Linked DNA regions of Drosophila melanogaster. The protein of the gene in region 1 interacts with the protein of each later gene in a pairwise test. Each region holds a gene or a part of one and is shown in the gene's direction. Other genes may lie near its edges.

Region 1 (8,528 bases):
AGACGCCTGTTAAGAAGGAGGAACCTGCTGAGGAGGAGGCGGAGGTCAAGTCCGAGAAGAAGAAGAAAAAGAAGAAGAAGCAGAAGGACGAAGAGGTGGAGGCCGTTGAGGAGGCGGCAGCACCAGAGCCCGAGGATCAGCCAACACCAGCAAAGAAAAAGAAAAAGTCAAAGCACCAGGAGTAATTTCCCACCTTGACTAGTTAGTAGGCCTTAAGTTTTAGCATCATAGGTTACCTTACTGTAAAGTATAGGATTTTATAATTACCAAAACGATTAAAGTTTCCGGTGTACATTAGAAATAAAATGTAATATTTGCATAACAAAATACAAATGTTAATATGTTATTCGTATTGGTTTTGATATACTTAATTCTTAAGAAAGCAATTGCAATTGTTTAATGTCCTTTGATTTTAAGAACTAAGCTACCTCTTAGGCATTCAGTTCTTGTCTGCGAAGCTTAGCAACATATTTCAAAAGCAGCTCCCAATTTTGGAGGCCAATCCGTCACTCGCTGCGAGGTAAAAAGTACGTTTGACTGCGGTAAAGGGACCAATGGAGCAGAAAGTTTTTACGTCAGCCCCAATTGCTTGCATCATGATGCCAGGCCCAGTCATTTTGACCATTTTGTGGTCAACGGCGTGGTATATAAATGCGATTGCAACTGGTGCCATTTGAACGAGAAAACTATGCGAGATGCATGGTCATTTTAAGTTGCTGCTGGTCCTGGGACTCCTGCTGACTTACGCGGCAGCCAAGAAGAAGGAGGCCTCATCATCCGAGGAGGAGGAGGGTGGCGACAAGTACGAGAAGAAGAAGTTCGGTGACGAGGAGCACAAGGGTGAGCACGGACACAAGGAGCACAAGGAATGGGAAGAGGACGAGAAGAAGCACCACGAGGTGGAAGACCACGAGCACCACCACGGCGACAAGGGATCGAAGAAGAAGAAACACTACGATGAGAAGGATGAGCATGGTGAGAAGCATGAACACGGCGCTCACAAGAAGGGCGGCAAACATCATCACAAAAAGAAGCACAAGAAGGGTCACAAGGAATTAGAATACCACAAGAAGTTCAAAAAGGACGAGTACATCAAGGAGAAGAAGTTCTACGATGATGAGCACAAGGGCGGACATCATAAGAAGTATGGAAAGGAGCACCATCATCATGCCGAGGAGCACGGCGAGCACAAGAAGGGCGAAAAGCACGAGGGCGGCAAAAAGAAGGGTCACAAGAAGCACCACGGACACTACAAGAAGGGTCACCACGACGAGGACCACAAGAAGTACAAGAAGGAGCACAAGTACGGCGACAGCTTCGAGGAGAAGAAGGAGCACGGCGAGAAGGGCTCCAAGAAGCACGGCCACAAGCACTACAAAAAGAAGGGCGGCAAGCATTGAGCAAGCTATATTATACATGTGATCTTTATGTGAAATGCAGAATTAAAACTGGGAGAGGTTCTAGAATATTATACTGTCTTGTGTTTTATTCAATAAGCTGTTAAAACTTAATCTGCTAAAAGCTAGTTTTGATACTTACAATGTTTCAAATAATATAGCACACTATAATATATTTAAATGTATTAGTATATTAGTATATACATATATAAGGTAGCTTAAATTGTTACGTTTTTTGAAAAGCCTGATAGCTAATCACGACGATTTATCCCATTTCATTTCCAGAAGCAACTCATTCAGCAGATCTCGGAGCACATCGCGACGCAGGCGCACTCGCTCCAAGTCCGGAACTCGATCCCGCAGTCGCTCCGCCGGCTCGGTGGGCCGTCGCTCCGGCCGCTCGAACGGACGGGACGAGAACGGATCGGCGTCGAGGTACAGCGACCACGAGCGCAACGGCAGTGGAGCGGTAGATTCACCGCCGCCGCCAAAACGGCGCTATGAGGATGAGGACGATGACCGGGTTAGGGGATCGCCGCGGTCGCGTTCCCGATCTCGATCGGCGTCGCCAGCGGTGCGCCGTGGATCGCCGCCCAGGCGTCGTGGTGACTCGTCCGCCTCACGATCCGTTTCAAGGGACTAGCGACAGCGAACGGATGCAGACGGAGCCCGACATGCGATGATGAGGGCCGGAGCTGCAACCCCCCGATGAATCCGGCGAGATGGGCTCTCCACGCACTGGACTCTAATCCTCATTCCCAAAAGAAACAACCTCACGTGTAACAAGACAGATTCCCAAATACTTTTTCATGCAGTATCCATCTAAGGTTTTTAGTTGTCCAAAACCATATTAGTTAAGGGTTTTAATTTATAGTGGAACTCGAGTTTGCATATTTAGGTATTCTAATGTTCCAACACAACAACAAATACAAGCACACGCAGAACAAAGGAGAGCGCTTCGGAAAATCATTTGACGGAAGGAAATTTAAGATATAGAAATGTATCGGCAGCCGCAGATTAACGATCTAGTCAGGATTGCTATGTAAATTGATTTGCCTTGGATTTTATTTTGCTTACCCTGGAATTATACTCGAATGTGCAGAGGACGAAGCATCGCCACCATTTTCATGTCAATTTTACACAATTTTCAATTTATGCAACACAACAACTTGATTATTTGACTCCAATCTCTGTATGATGTGTTTCTATATTCGTAATAATTAAGTATTGCAACAGTGCATAATAATTATTCATACATTGATGTCATAGTTAAGTATTAAAAAAATACATATGTATGGATTCTTGAGATGTGTGTTTGAATTATGTAGCAAATGCGCTGAACACTAAAATACAGATATTCAATCAATAAATTAAATGCCAAAATTAGTTGTTTTCCATTTGAATTTGGCGGGCTTTATGCGGTCTTGAACAAGTCTGGTCACTCAGTTTAGAAGTAGGTGCGCATTATTTAAATTGGTATTTTTGCCAGATGTTTAGTATTTTGTTTGTTTGGTAACTCTGCACTTCCAGTTACTTAGTATTTTTTCAGTCAGAGCTGGTATTTTATTGCGCATCGGGTACGGCCACATTATTAGACTAGCATTCCTCCAGTTAAATTTTGTTTTGTGTTTTGTTTTGCATTTTTTTTAACTATTGCCTTTACTTTACTGCCGCCGGCTTCCATACAAATAGTTCTGAAATCAGAAATAACGAACAGAATCGTCTTTCAACGTGGTCAGCTGGACAGCTACAGCAACAATGGCATTCCGCCAGTCGGAGCACGAGATGAGCGTCACCTCACTCGATTCAAGCGTCGAACTGAGATCGCGTTCGCCATCGCCGCAGGTCTTCAATCCGCGCAAGCTCCGCTTCGCCGATGATGACTTTGACAAGGACACGCCCGAGGGAGCGAGTCCGCAGCATCCCCTTCAGCAGCGGCCGAAGCTATCCTCCGGTGAGGAGCAGCAGCTGGACAGTAAGATAGGCAAAGAAGGCGGCGACGGGGACGTGTCCATGTCGCCGCCATGCCAAAAGGTGCGGGCCCTGCGACTCTTTAGCACACCGGCCACTCCAAAGACCATCCTGCAGAAGTCGACGACGCAGTGCAGCAACCATCTGTCGGCGGCAGCAGCGGCAGTGAATGCCTCCAGGCGCAGCGACGACCTCTTCCGCCTGTCAGAGCGCCCGCGATCTCTGCCACTGCACAACCGCAAACTGCCCACCCAGGACACGGCAAATGTGAACCCCTTCACGCCAGATAGTAAGTTTAAAACGTTTCTCGCTTTTGATATTTTAATTAAATAAAGGTATCAATTTCCAGTTCGTTGCTTTAATTTGCACTCCACTTTAACCCATCCCAGCTTAGTCTTATTAGCAATCTAATAATCATTTTTTTTATTTTTAGGCCTCATGGCTCACAATAAGAAGCGCTGTCGCACGCAATTCGGACGCGAAAACCTCAACCTGAACGTGAATGCTATGCAAAAGTATTTGCTCAGTGATGCCTGCGACGACGATGTGACGGAGGAGGCGGGCGACTCGATGCGCGAAATCCACCAGCAGGCACCCAAGCGGCTGGCCCTGCACGACACGAACATCAGTCGCTTCAAGCGGGAGTTCATGCAAGTCAACGTAATCGGCGTTGGCGAGTTCGGTGTGGTGTTCCAATGCGTCAATCGACTAGATGGCTGCATATATGCGATTAAAAAGAGTAAGAAGCCGGTGGCAGGCAGTTCTTTCGAGTGAGTATTCATTAGTTATTGCAACGAGCGTCGTTTAACAATCTATTTGCTTGCAGAAAGAGAGCCCTGAACGAGGTCTGGGCCCATGCTGTATTGGGCAAGCACGATAACGTGGTTAGATACTATTCCGCGTGGGCGGAGGACGATCATATGCTGATACAGAATGAATTCTGCGATGGTGGCAGCTTGCACGCGCGCATCCAAGATCATTGTTTGGGTGAGGCAGAGCTAAAGATTGTTCTCATGCATGTGATAGAGGGCCTACGCTATATTCATTCAAATGACCTGGTGCACATGGATCTGAAGCCCGAAAACATATTCTCCACCATGAATCCCAATGCACACAAGCTGGTGGAGGTGCAGCCGCAGCAGACCAAAGATGACGATGGCATGGACAGCGTCTATGAAGAACTGCGCCATTCAGAGAATCTGGTTACGTACAAGATCGGCGACCTGGGACACGTGACCTCCGTTAAGGAACCCTACGTCGAGGAGGGAGACTGTCGTTACCTGCCCAAGGAGATCCTTCACGAGGATTATTCGAATCTCTTCAAGGCCGACATATTTTCCCTGGGCATCACGCTGTTCGAGGCGGCCGGCGGTGGTCCGCTGCCTAAAAATGGACCCGAATGGCACAACTTGCGAGATGGCAAGGTGCCGATTCTGCCGAGCCTGAGCAGGGATTTTAACGAGCTCATAGCCCAGATGATGCATCCTTATCCCGACAAGAGGCCCACTTCGCAGTCTATATTCAGTCATCCGTAAGTAAATTGAGTCGACAGTATAAGCGACAATCATATTTAGTTGCATTTAAGATAAATGTGCTCACACTAAATACATATAATGTTCGTTTAATTTGCAGAATTCTGAGTGCTGTTGACTCCAAGAGCAAGCTGCAGCTCGGCCTGGAGCTGACCGTGGAGAAGCGCAAGAACGAGATACTGATGAACAAGCTGAGAGAGGCCAAAAAACAGATTAAACTGCTCGAGCAACGAGGTAAGATAAGATAAATAGTTGTATAACAACTTAAACTTTAAGGTGGTTGGTTATCTGGATGTTTACAATTTCTAACGTTTCTGCAACTCATTTTAGTCAATCTTCTTGCGGTGACTAACAATCCGGACAGTCTGGATGGACAGCGTTGCCTTCGCAGCTTCACGCGACGCATGCGCACGCCATTCTCCAGCCATGGCAAGTTCGACAGCATATCCGATCGCAACAAGAACGTTATCACCAATATCTGATAAGCTCGCAACAGATGCCGAACCGATAGCTAAACTCTTCCGAATCGAACGTGAACTAAGCTCACATTGTGTTACCTTTTAAGCGTATTCATATAATCGATACATATTTCTAACTATTCGCTTTCGTTTAAGCTCATGGATTTTGAAGCATTCGTAAATATAATCTATATATTTTTCAAGCTCAGTGAACTTTTCCCTGTTAAGAAAGCACAATCGTTTTAAGAAAAGCCCCTTGTAAACTTTAAGATTCTCGCATAGTTGTAATGAGTATTGTTTTCGAAATTAAAATATTTATTATGTTACATGGAAATCGAAATAATAACATTCCATTCGTTAAATATAGCGAATGCTATTCCATAAAAACTACTGGATTTATTATGACTCCGGATTTAAAACAAAATGTTTGCGAAGTTTTTCTTAAATTCAATTGTTTACTCCACTAGAAATTGTTTTGATATTATCCAATTTCCTGTCAAATTATGTTCCATTTTCCTTATCTGAAAATAACAATCGTCTCATTTTTTTGTATTATCCAGCTAGTTTGCTTTTTTTACGCAATCAATGGAAAGAGAAATGATCATTATTGTAATTTGACTTATTTTCTTTGAGGCACTAAGACTAGATGTTGGCTGTAAGCTGCTTTGATAGAAATGCAATGGGTATTTCATTTAAAGAACAAACTCAGAACTTGGCATGAGTTTGTTTGGAAATCCTTAATCAGTATATTTTCTTCATTAAAAAATAATGTAAATTAATATGGATTACACTTTTGTTATGCGCTACATATTATATTGTTTGTATGATACACCTAAAACCGTCTATAATTCTGATTCTGTTGCCTGCTGCCGCCTTGTTGCTGGTAGTTGTTGTTCCTTGGACCATTATAGTTGTTAAAGTTGCGCTGCTGCTGATTCGAATTGTCCTGGTTGAATCTCTGATTGTGGCCATATTGCTGCTGCTGTCGGTTATTGTAGTTGTTTTGATAGCCGCCACCCTGGTGCTGATTGTAGTTATTGTTGTAGTTGTAGTTATAGTTTCGGCTATTGTTCTGATAGCTCTGTCCTTGGTTTCCGCCTATTCCCTGGCCGTAGCCGCCTCCTTGCCCGTAGCCTCCTCCTCCACCTCCATTGCCACCGCCACCCTGTTGGTTCCTTATGCCAGCGTTCAGCATGCGGTGACCACTATCCGGAACGTAGGCCCTGGTCAAGTGGCTATTAAAACCGATGACGGGACGATGCTTGTTACCAGACTGCTCATTTGGCAGCACCTGTGGCGGATCTACGGCGTTTTCGAGGCGCTTCGCTTCGAAAATGTAGTCTTCATCGTATTCCGGATCCCTGAACGTGGTCGTCACGGTTATATTGTCATTAATGTCCGATAGCCCGGAAATCGGCGACTTAAGAACGCCGCTGATGGCAGTGTTTAGTTCGGTTTTTCCCAAAGTGCCGCGCATACCGTCAAATGAGATGGCTTTGCAAACGCTCTCATCATCCTTTTCGCTGATTTTCTTCACCTTTTTGTAGTGCGGACTCTGATTGCTGATGTACAGGTAATTGTCTCCACGCTTGTTTCGCTTCACCTCCTCTCCAGTAAGTTGATCATAGTAGGGAACCAAAGCCTTGAAGAGACGCTTCTCATCGACGAACGGCAGCAGAGCCACTCCCTGCCAGGCGAACTTCTTGCCATTCAGATCGATCTTAAAGTCCTCCGGATAGAAGTCAATGATCGGTGACTCCGGATCGGACATGAGCTTGGCCCACGGCTCGGGCACGTGTGAACTACTGGCTGCCGGAAAGACGCCCATCAGTTGCTCGAGCGGATTAAACGGCTTTGTGCCCTTTTCGAACATCGTGGACAGTCCCTGGATGTTGACAAAATCCGATGCGAAGGGTGCATAATGGTATGGGAAGTACCAGTTCCAGGAGGCACAGCCCTGATAGTAGTACTTAAGAACCCAGCACAATCCTCGGACATACTGCAGGGCTACAGCGTATCGGAACTGCTGGTTACCCGGTGCCACGTCAAACTTGGATTCGTAGTAGCGGTCCTTGAAGCCATCCTCCCACAATCGCACCTCGTCGTTATTCTCCTCCTCATCTTCGTCATCCAAATTGGCCATGTCACTCGTCCGTTTTCTATTACGAAGTGCCGCGGCCTCCTCCTTGTAGTTGCCGACGCTCCTTTGCTGGCTGTTTGGACCCACGGCGCTGGCGCCAAAAGCAGACTGATTCAAGGATCCGTGGTCCTGATTCCTTTCCTGCCTCTTGCGCGCCTTGTCCCTGGCCTTGAACTGCTCCTCGCGTCGCTGTCGGCTCTTGAAGATCTGGTCCTCGGCATTGCCCAAGTCGGTCATAATCAGCTGCACCCGGTCAAGATTTACATCTCCCGAGTCGGTGAGATAGCCCCTTGTCTTGTAAACGCACTTCTTGTATAACTCCACCAATCGATCTACTGCACCCTCGCGAATCTCCAGGCTAGGCAGGTGGGGCAGAAAATCATTGCCCACAAAGAAGCACATGAACACCCAGTCGTCCAACGCGCGCTCGAAACTGTACTCAAATGGCAGATTCGGCATCTCAAGAGTCTGCTTTAGGTACTCGCGTAGCACACTCAGCCGCACAAAGATGAACTTTACCTCGGCGCCTATGGGCACATCGGGCTTAAAATTGGCGCTAGTTGGCGCAGTCGCTCCGAGTCCGACACACTTGTCCATCTCGTGGCCAAATCCGTTGCAGATGTCGCAGGGACGCGGCTTATTCGGCAGGAACTCCTCCCGAATGATTGTGAAGTTGGGCTCGTGCGTGGCCAGACCCAACATGATGAGATCGGCGTCGGCTCCGCACAAGACGTGCTGCGTGTTGGGATCGTGATCAGGCTGGGCACGCTGCTTGCGAATGTAATCCATGATCTTGTGCTCACCCTCACCGGGCACATTGGCGTCCGACAGGATCACCTTGATGCCCTTCCAGGCCGGGTTATTGTTTTGACGATCATGAACAAAGTAGTGCAAACACTTGCTCAGTCGGTCCATGAACGGGGTGCCCGGCGTGATGCAGTTGGAGTCAAAGTGTTCACCCTTCTCCTTCTCCGGTGGCAGCTTGCAGCCGCGGCTCAGCAGCTCCTCGCGGATCCGTGCTATCTCCAGC
Region 2 (8,410 bases), on another chromosome or scaffold:
TGTGTTGTAAGATTTCTACTCTAATATTGTTATTTGATTCGATCACATGAATGCATTAACCATCAGAAACTATAGTTTTTGGGACTCAATTTTTATTTTTTTGAATTTTTTGAATTGAATTTTTTGATTCTTGGAAACGTTCGAAACATTCGGACAGATCGAGTTGATCAGTTCACAGGATAAACTTTTTCATTTTATTAGTGTTCTATCAAAGTATTAAGTATTGCTACTTTACGTTACATATTAGGCAATCTACAATATGTATGTAAATATAATCCTACAAAATCCCATAAGGATTCAATTAAGACTTTGTTTGTTGTTTTTCCAGCGGAAAAAGCCGATTTACCACCGACGCAATCCTGTTCCAATTTAAAAAAAAAAAAAAACCTTGTTATTTTAAGTTTTTGGAGAGGAACATAAATGGGACCTTTTCAAGGCCCGAAGTCTTCAAGATTATTGCTTCTTATTTTATTGCTGAATTATCAGATTTGTTTCCTCTAACATTAATCCCTCAATTCTTTAGTCAACATTTTTTCCACTTAATAGAACATTATTTTTTGTCAGCATTCATAAATTGTCTAAATAGTTGAATATTTCGCCAGACTATAGAACTAAAATCGAATTTTATGGCTTTGACATTAAATAGACTTTCATCATTTGCTTCTAAGAAGAAAAACCCAAGAATCGCTGACAGTGCAATTAAAATTGAAGAGTATTTTAAAATTACAAATGCACAATAAATTGTAATTCATTAAAATTCATCATCGAGTTACCACTAATGAACGGGGTAAGTTGCCGTCGGTAAATTTTAAAATATTATCATCGTATCTAATCTTAGCATTTACTTACTTTTGTACAGAAACTTCGAGTAATCACAATCCATATCGCATTGGTGTAAAGCTCCAGGATTAGATGCTACTTATTGCGCGGCTGCTCCGATTGGCTAGGATATGGTCTAGATGTGCGAGGATTCCGAAAGCTGGAGAAGATCTCTATCTCGAAATGGAGAGCTGTGCGGATTGATTGGGCTATTCACAGCACCTTCTTCGGCGAACTTTTTTCGCGGACCTTGCAGGGATCGAAGAAATAAACCCAAATGCGGATGCTTATCAGTGAAAACCGATCCATTTTTTAGGATTTAACCGCACTGCACATTTTCCACCGTCGCGACTACGATGATATTTATACGAATTATACGGATTATGTTTATCTTTCGCGATTTACATGACCAATTGTGTCATGAGCCCGGCTTTTTTGTTTTAATTTGCATTTATTTACTCTTCGCTTATGTTTCGGTTTCTGTTTGTGTTTCTGTATTGTATCGCAATTGGTCGTTCATTGGCTGGCATTACTGAAACTTAAATCCACTTCCAAATAAGTGTATCGTGCGTTTTTAGTTTCCCCTGCAGGTTGAATTATTGTTCTTTTTTTTGGATTTACTTTCTGGTATTTACACAGTGGTAATGGGAGTCGAGTTTACACTTGGTCGATGTTTACCGAATCTAGTCGCTCGATTCGATTGTTCGACGGAATGGGAATTGGCCACCATATCATTGATTTAAAGGCGTTAGTTAAGGTTGTTCTGATATCAGACGGATTCCTTAATAAATGCACTGCAAAAAAAAAAGCAACGTAATTATAATCGTTAAGGAGGGGGAACAATGGCTTGGGTATTATTTGTTTATTTGTATTTATACGTATTTTTTTTTTTTTTGCTGGCCCAACTCGCTTCAGTAGTTTTCCCGAAGACGATGTGCGGGTGTTTTTTGTGATTATTAATTTATTTATTTGTTTTTTTTTTGAATGGGGTGCAACAGTTGTGCTGCAATCAGCACAAATAAATCTTTGTGGGTGATTCATAAGCTGTCAAATAAACGCATACAGCACTGCACAGCACAGCAAAAAAAATGTTGGAAAAAAAATAAAAATAAAAACACGATGTAGAACAAAATATTGGTATTGGGCAGAATGGCCGAAAAGCGCTCCGAATTACCTGCGCATTAACAATAACGGCGCGAATCGGATAGGGATACTATCCAATCCAACACTATCCAATCCCAATCCACTCCACGCTCTCTATATGTAAACTTAGCACACACGAACGCAAATTTACACTGGCATACATGAAATGCAATTATTATTATTATTATTATTATTATTATTTTTTTGTTTCCACGGTCTGTTTCAGATCCGGTTGCAGCTTATGCGAAGCTAATTAAACTAAAACTATAACTACAACTTTGTTTACACAACACACCGCTGGCCGAATGCAACGTCGAATTGTGCTAAAGCGAACCCATTATTTAAGATTTCATTAAATCCGCGACGTTTTTTCCTCCAGGGCACATCATCTGATGTTGATGGTTTTTCTCAAACTTTGCGCTTATTTTTACCGGCACACGGCGCAATCTGTTTGGCTTTGGACTGGGTACGAACTTGTACTTGTACGGTACACCGATAGAACAACATATCCGACGGATAGCGACGAACAAACGGAACGGGATGGGTTTGGCGGATGGCGGATGGTGGATGCGGATGTGGATGGAAATTCGGTACGAGAAGAAAAAACCGCAATTCGATTATATCTTATGGCTGGCGTTTGTTTTAATTTTAACTAATGTTAACTAGCTCTCGCAATCGAAATAACACAGACAGACGCAAGCGATGGCATAAACAGAACTACCAATAAGAAATTATCTCAAAATGTATTTCAGGCAAAAAGTAAAACAGTAAAAGCTCTTCTCATTGAGCATTCGCATTCGCACTCGGCTGCTTCCATCGAAAAATTTTTCGAAACTGAAAGCAGAAATATATTTTTCTGGCCATTCCAATTCGACTCGAAACTCTCTCGCTCTCTTCCTCGCTCTCTTTGTGCGCGGTTCCAATCGGAACCAATTGTGGAACCTAAGAGAGCGTTAATTCTAAGATTTTACATAAAGAGAATCCGTTTTTCTCTTTCATTTTCATACATTTTTATGTTTTCTCTTCCCCTAAATTATGTTAAAAGCTTTAATACCAAAGCTTCACTTTATTTGACAGCTGATTCAGCTGAAGGTGATTGCCGCCCTTTTTTGAACTCCACTAAAAAATGCCTATTTTGGTATATTTGATTAGGTTATCTGTTGATTACAATATATTTAAGCTGTTTGTCCAATTAGCGAAGATATTTAAAAAGTTTATTTCACTTTTTGATATGCTTTTAATTTAACTTTTAAATTAGACTGTGTTCCTGTTCGGAATACGGTCACACCGGAACAAAAACATAAACAGACCTTTGAATGCATTCCACTGTGCAGTCAAAAGTAATAAATATAAGCTCCTCAGTTTTATACGTCAAACTATCGCTTAAGCAATGTATAAAATTAGTTTATAAGTTGGTTACATTTTAGTTTATTCTCTTTTAATGGCTCTAAGTGACTATTAAATCCGTGTTGTGGTAGCTCTTTGGTTGGCTTGAATAGCCAGCAGTAACTAAATATAAAAATAAAGAAAGTAATTGAGAGACTTGGAGGGAAGAACAGCGCATACGCGAGAGTGGTCGAGTGAATGTTTACAGCGCATGAATTAGGTTTTGGTGGTTTATCTGAGTACCTCTAGCCCCATGACTAATGCTTAAAGATGGGCTGACTTGGGTGTAATCACCTGCCTCTACAGGTTTATTATCAAACACGGTGCAGTGTTGCAGTTAACTGCTTAGCATTAAAGCCCAATATAGGCAAGAGTGTTGGAAAGCTCATCTTTTCCAGCACTGGGTGCATTGTACCTCCAGTCGATTTGATTGGTGAACCAAACTGGTTATATTTTAGCCAGTGATAAGGGGTTTTCGGATCTGGACAAAGCATTTGTATGTTTATATATTTATATATATTATATTTATTTATTTATATATATTTATTTACTTATTTATTTATTTATATATATTTATATATTTTCATAGAACAATATATATATGTATACAGAAATATATGTCCAAAACGGTTAAAGAGGGATAATTTAAACTATTTTTTTTTGTTCGTATTTAAATTTTTGTAAGCTTTATATGGTTAATCAAATACTTATCGAAATCTGAAACTCAACTAGTGGATGCGGCCCACTGTATGTACGATACCGCTAAGCTCCCTTCAAAGGCAGTGGAATTGTTCTAAATGCGAACATCGATAATACTTATCGATATCTAGACTGATCCTCGATATCCATGACAATAATTAATACACATGACTAAATATGCAAAAAAAAAGCCCCAAGTGGACTGATATGCAAAAAAGCATTTCACCACGGCACCTGCGCATATAATGGTGGATAGCCTGTGGAACGTCCTTATCTTATCGTGTAAGGTGGACACGACACGAACACTAATCAGAGAATAGAGCAGTTCTAACTCACAATATTGATAAACAAAGTAAGGGCCAGCCGAGAGATACACGCGCATTTATTGGCAGCAAACAGAAGCCAAAACTACGGACATGTCCGAATCGGGAATCAAAAAGTTGAGCCAGGAGCGGACTCGCGAATGGTTGGCTAGTCAGGAGGACGAGGAACTGGAGTCCATTGCAGAGTCCTCGGTTGTGGACAGCTTGGACTACGATTATACCGAGGAAGAGGAGGATGCCGACCAAAATACCAGTGAAGAAATCAGCACTATGACACTAGGCACTCAAATCGGTGCGTAGTACTCAAGATCAAGTTTCTATATTCAATTTATAACACTTTCAATATATCCCCACCTTAAAGCTACCAAAAAGCATTCGATCATCAGCGACACCATAAGGGACCTTATGAACTCGATCAACAGCATTCAGACTTTGGGCAACGTTAATATAAGCAACTCCACGAACGTCCATATCGGCAATGTTACCAATATTAATGGAAATATACAAATCATAGCCGATGGCCTTACTCAAAACCGAAGAGATCGGCGGCATGTTTCACCACCGAGAGATAACGCTCCCAAAACTCCGACACATTTCGAAGACGACTATCAGGACGAGTCGGAGGAGAGGGTGCGCTCGGATGTGTTCATCAGGCGCCAGAGTAAGCTATCATTCACCAGGGGATGCATACACGTTAACCATAGGATACCGATTTCACTTACAGAATTCAAAATACCCAAGGAGCTGTCCGCCATCATTCCGCGCTCTTCGTGGCTAGCACAGAAGCCCATGGACGAGCCACTGCCCTTGCAACTGCCTGTTAAATATGTGGTTATCTGTGAGTATTCAAGTTTGCTGCACGTTTTAACCATTTTTTTGCCAACTGATTATAAATCAAGTTGTCTGTAAAAGTATGACGCAATAATTAAAACAATTTATACTATTTGATCTGACCATCATGCTTAGCACTCACTAACCTAAGATTATATCGTATTATAACTCTTTTCGAATATATTTAAAACCTTGATTAACAAATATTGTTTTACCACGCAGTACACACAGCTACAGAGAGTTCAGAAAAGCGGGCGATCAACGTAAGACTTATCCGTGACATGCAGGTAAGTATTTCGTTAGCGAAATTAAATCATATATGCTCCGAACTATATAATAATTATGTATATATATTTCAGTGCTTCCACATTGAGTCGCGGGGATGGAATGACATTGCGTACAACTTCCTGGTCGGCTGCGATGGCAACATCTACGAGGGACGCGGATGGAAAACGGTGGGCGCCCACACTCTGGGTTACAACAGGATCTCGCTGGGGATCAGTTTCATTGGATGCTTCATGAAAGAACTCCCGACGGCAGACGCCTTGAATATGTGCCGCAATCTGTTGGCCCGCGGCGTTGAGGATGGTCACATATCCACCGACTATAGATTAATTTGTCACTGCCAGTGCAATTCGACGGAGAGTCCTGGTCGGCGATTGTACGAGGAGATACAGACATGGCCCCACTTTTACAATATCGAGGAGGAGGAACAATGAGGGACAAAAGAAGAGCACCATTTCACATACTTAGACTTAAATGCACCCGAGTTACGTTTATAATGTTGAACATTAAATCACCTGTTTATAAATTTTCCAGCTACTGGCAGTTTCGTTAAGTTACTTTATATTTTGGTATAGTTTTTGCAGCGCTGAAAGGTGGAAAAACCACAAGATGTTTCGGAACCAACATCGCCTACCTGTTTTAATTCACAACTGAAAGAGAAGCAACAATTATACTGCACAAATATGAGCGAGCTAGCACCACATAAATACAGACAATAGTAATGCATTTGCTGAAAACAATCTATAATTAAACAAAAATTTGCGTACAGTCAAGTAAACAATTAACAATTAGAAGTGATTTTCTTTAAGCTTTGGCGGAGCCGAATACTTTTCCTTAACGTGAGCACGGTACTCCTCGTCATCATCGTGGCACTCCTTATAGCATAGAGTGCAAAAGAGTTCCCCACCACATCCGTGGCATCGGAAGTCGGCGTCTTCGTTACAAATATTGCACCAGGGCAATTCTTCGGTGTTGCCGGGCGACTCAGTGTTAATTGGACTAATTTCACTCTCGGAAGGTTCTGGTAAGCGCGATTCTGCTACATACTGAATGGGAATACGAAAGTGATGATTTGGCTTAAAAAAAATAATGCTACTATATAAATGCGAACCTTTTTCAATATGTTCTGTAGAAGTGTCTCGTCATCCTCTTCGTTGTCCGCGATACTTTCCATCTGGGATCTCGATGGGCATGCATCGGAATCGACGGGTGTATCGCGCAGAGCTCGCAGACGTCTCTCAATGTCGGAAATTGAGTCATCCCTCTGCCTGCTGATATTTTGATCCAGTTGGGCTTCGTCAACGAATTGTGCGAGCAAGTCCCTCATTTTCTCCTGATCGTTTCTTTGGTCGGTGGACAGTAGCAGATCTTTCTTATCGTAGCTTTTCGTATGCGGCATCCCAGTGAGATTGGCCAGACGGGTGCGGATCTCATCATCGGTGGCATCAACTCGTTTATAGTCCTGCATTCGTTTGGTCAACTCACTGTCCAGGTTCTCATCAATATGATCCTTGTGATCTTTGGAATGTGGTGACGAACTGGAACTGGGAACCAATGCCTGTGGCAGCTCCTCCACAGGCAGGCTGTCGCTGCAATTAATCGAATTATAGTTTCAGAATCGGTGTTTTAATGTGGTATTTTACTTACTTGAATAGGGCATCGGCGCCATCTGAACTTTTGGATGGAGGAGCCAGGTTCATTTTGGTGACTAAGATCCCCGGCAAAGCATCACAGTCTATAACTTTCTCGGCATCGGCGCTCGCCTGGAGTTTGGATAGTTTGTCGTAGCATATGAGGCACACATTGTGCACCTTTCCTGCATGACGGGGCACGGGCATTGGTCTCTTCAAGCACTTGGAGCAGAATGAGTAGCCGCAGTTGGGGCATCCATACTAAAATTTCGGATTTAACACAATGTAAGTAGGTGATATATGTTGGTTTGCTTTGGTTTGATGGCACTTGCCTCCTTGCAGAATAGGCCATATTTGCGACCGCAGCCAAAGCAGCTCATTGCAACCAGAGTCACCAATGGAACATATAAATTGAAAAAGTTTCAAATTTCGTTTGCTTTGTTTTGAAAGAAGCCAGTTCTAATTAGGGATGGTGTACAGTGTACAGTGGGTGAGCTATCGATTACGACTTAAACGCATTAGCGTTCTAAAAATCAGCTGTTCCTTGTTTTGGTTTAGTCTAATATCAATATTATTAAATTCTTGAGCTTTGTTGTGACCAGATCGTTAGGAACTAGAGATAGTCGAGTGAGTCCTGGTATCGATTGTCCATGGCACACAACAGCTGTTAATGAATAGTATTTAGTCTTGTAAATGTATTTAGTAGTTTATTTTGTTTACAAATCAATCGAGGACTGATCACTGATCACTTTTCAAATGATTCATTGAGATCCGAGATTTTTCACCTAACTCGATAGTTATCTAACGCGAGCGTGGACTTTGGTCCGGTGGAGACGGGCTGTTATACAGGCAGCTATTTACCGATAGGGTAAAGGTCTATCGGCCTCGGTCAGGTATCGTCAGTGCAATTGTTTTGAGGTGCTAAGACGTCAATTGATTGACTTGTCCACACAATCAATTTAGCAACATTCTCTGATTCGGTTTAACAATACTTAGCACGGCAAGTAGAAGCAAACAGTGAGCGAAAACAAACAATAAAATGAGGGCAAACAAGTCAGGTTTTGCAAACAATACACTTACAATGTAAGTAATTTTGAGAAGTTATACTATTTGCTGTGCCACAGGAAGTTATATATAGTTTAATTAAGTTATAATGCGTTTAAACGCAATCCCTGGAACTCGATGTATATGAGCATATAATTCCCCTTGACTCCAATAGGAAGTGCTCCATGAAAACATTATGTGACATCTATACGTACTGTATAAATAAGCATATAATCGGTTCCAATGTAC

Evidence for each region. The genes of interacting proteins can lie anywhere in the genome.
Region 2: the proteins of Wee1 (region 1) and PGRP-LE interact in a two-hybrid assay, tested with the Drosophila melanogaster proteins (2 studies listed by BioGRID).

What each region holds. Positions count from the first base shown.
Region 1 is NT_033779.5:6,908,555-6,917,082, reverse strand, and holds Wee1 (Wee1 kinase), read left to right. Parts: upstream 1-2,944; 5' UTR 2,945-3,155; coding exon 3,156-3,657; intron 3,658-3,801; coding exon 3,802-4,138; intron 4,139-4,194; coding exon 4,195-4,899; intron 4,900-5,000; coding exon 5,001-5,134; intron 5,135-5,230; coding exon 5,231-5,382; 3' UTR 5,383-5,993; downstream 5,994-8,528. Other genes in the region: nop5, read left to right, coding at 1-185; CG32829 (uncharacterized protein), read left to right, coding at 696-1,400; x16 splicing factor, read left to right, coding at 1,683-2,040; Rat1 5'-3' exoribonuclease, read right to left, coding at 6,191-8,528. UniProt on the Drosophila melanogaster protein: Acts as a negative regulator of entry into mitosis (G2 to M transition). This kinase specifically phosphorylates and inactivates cyclin B1-complexed CDC2.
Region 2 is NC_004354.4:15,798,761-15,807,170, reverse strand, and holds PGRP-LE (peptidoglycan recognition protein LE), read left to right. Parts: upstream 1-3,290; 5' UTR 3,291-3,844; intron 3,845-4,080; 5' UTR 4,081-4,463; coding exon 4,464-4,662; intron 4,663-4,731; coding exon 4,732-5,031; intron 5,032-5,094; coding exon 5,095-5,208; intron 5,209-5,423; coding exon 5,424-5,488; intron 5,489-5,560; coding exon 5,561-5,920; 3' UTR 5,921-6,018; downstream 6,019-8,410. Other genes in the region: CG15602 (uncharacterized protein), read right to left, coding at 6,275-6,532, 6,598-7,075, 7,134-7,378, 7,450-7,497. UniProt on the Drosophila melanogaster protein: Peptidoglycan-recognition protein that plays a key role in innate immunity by binding to murein peptidoglycans (PGN) of Gram-negative bacteria and activating the imd/Relish pathway. Has no activity against on Gram-positive bacteria.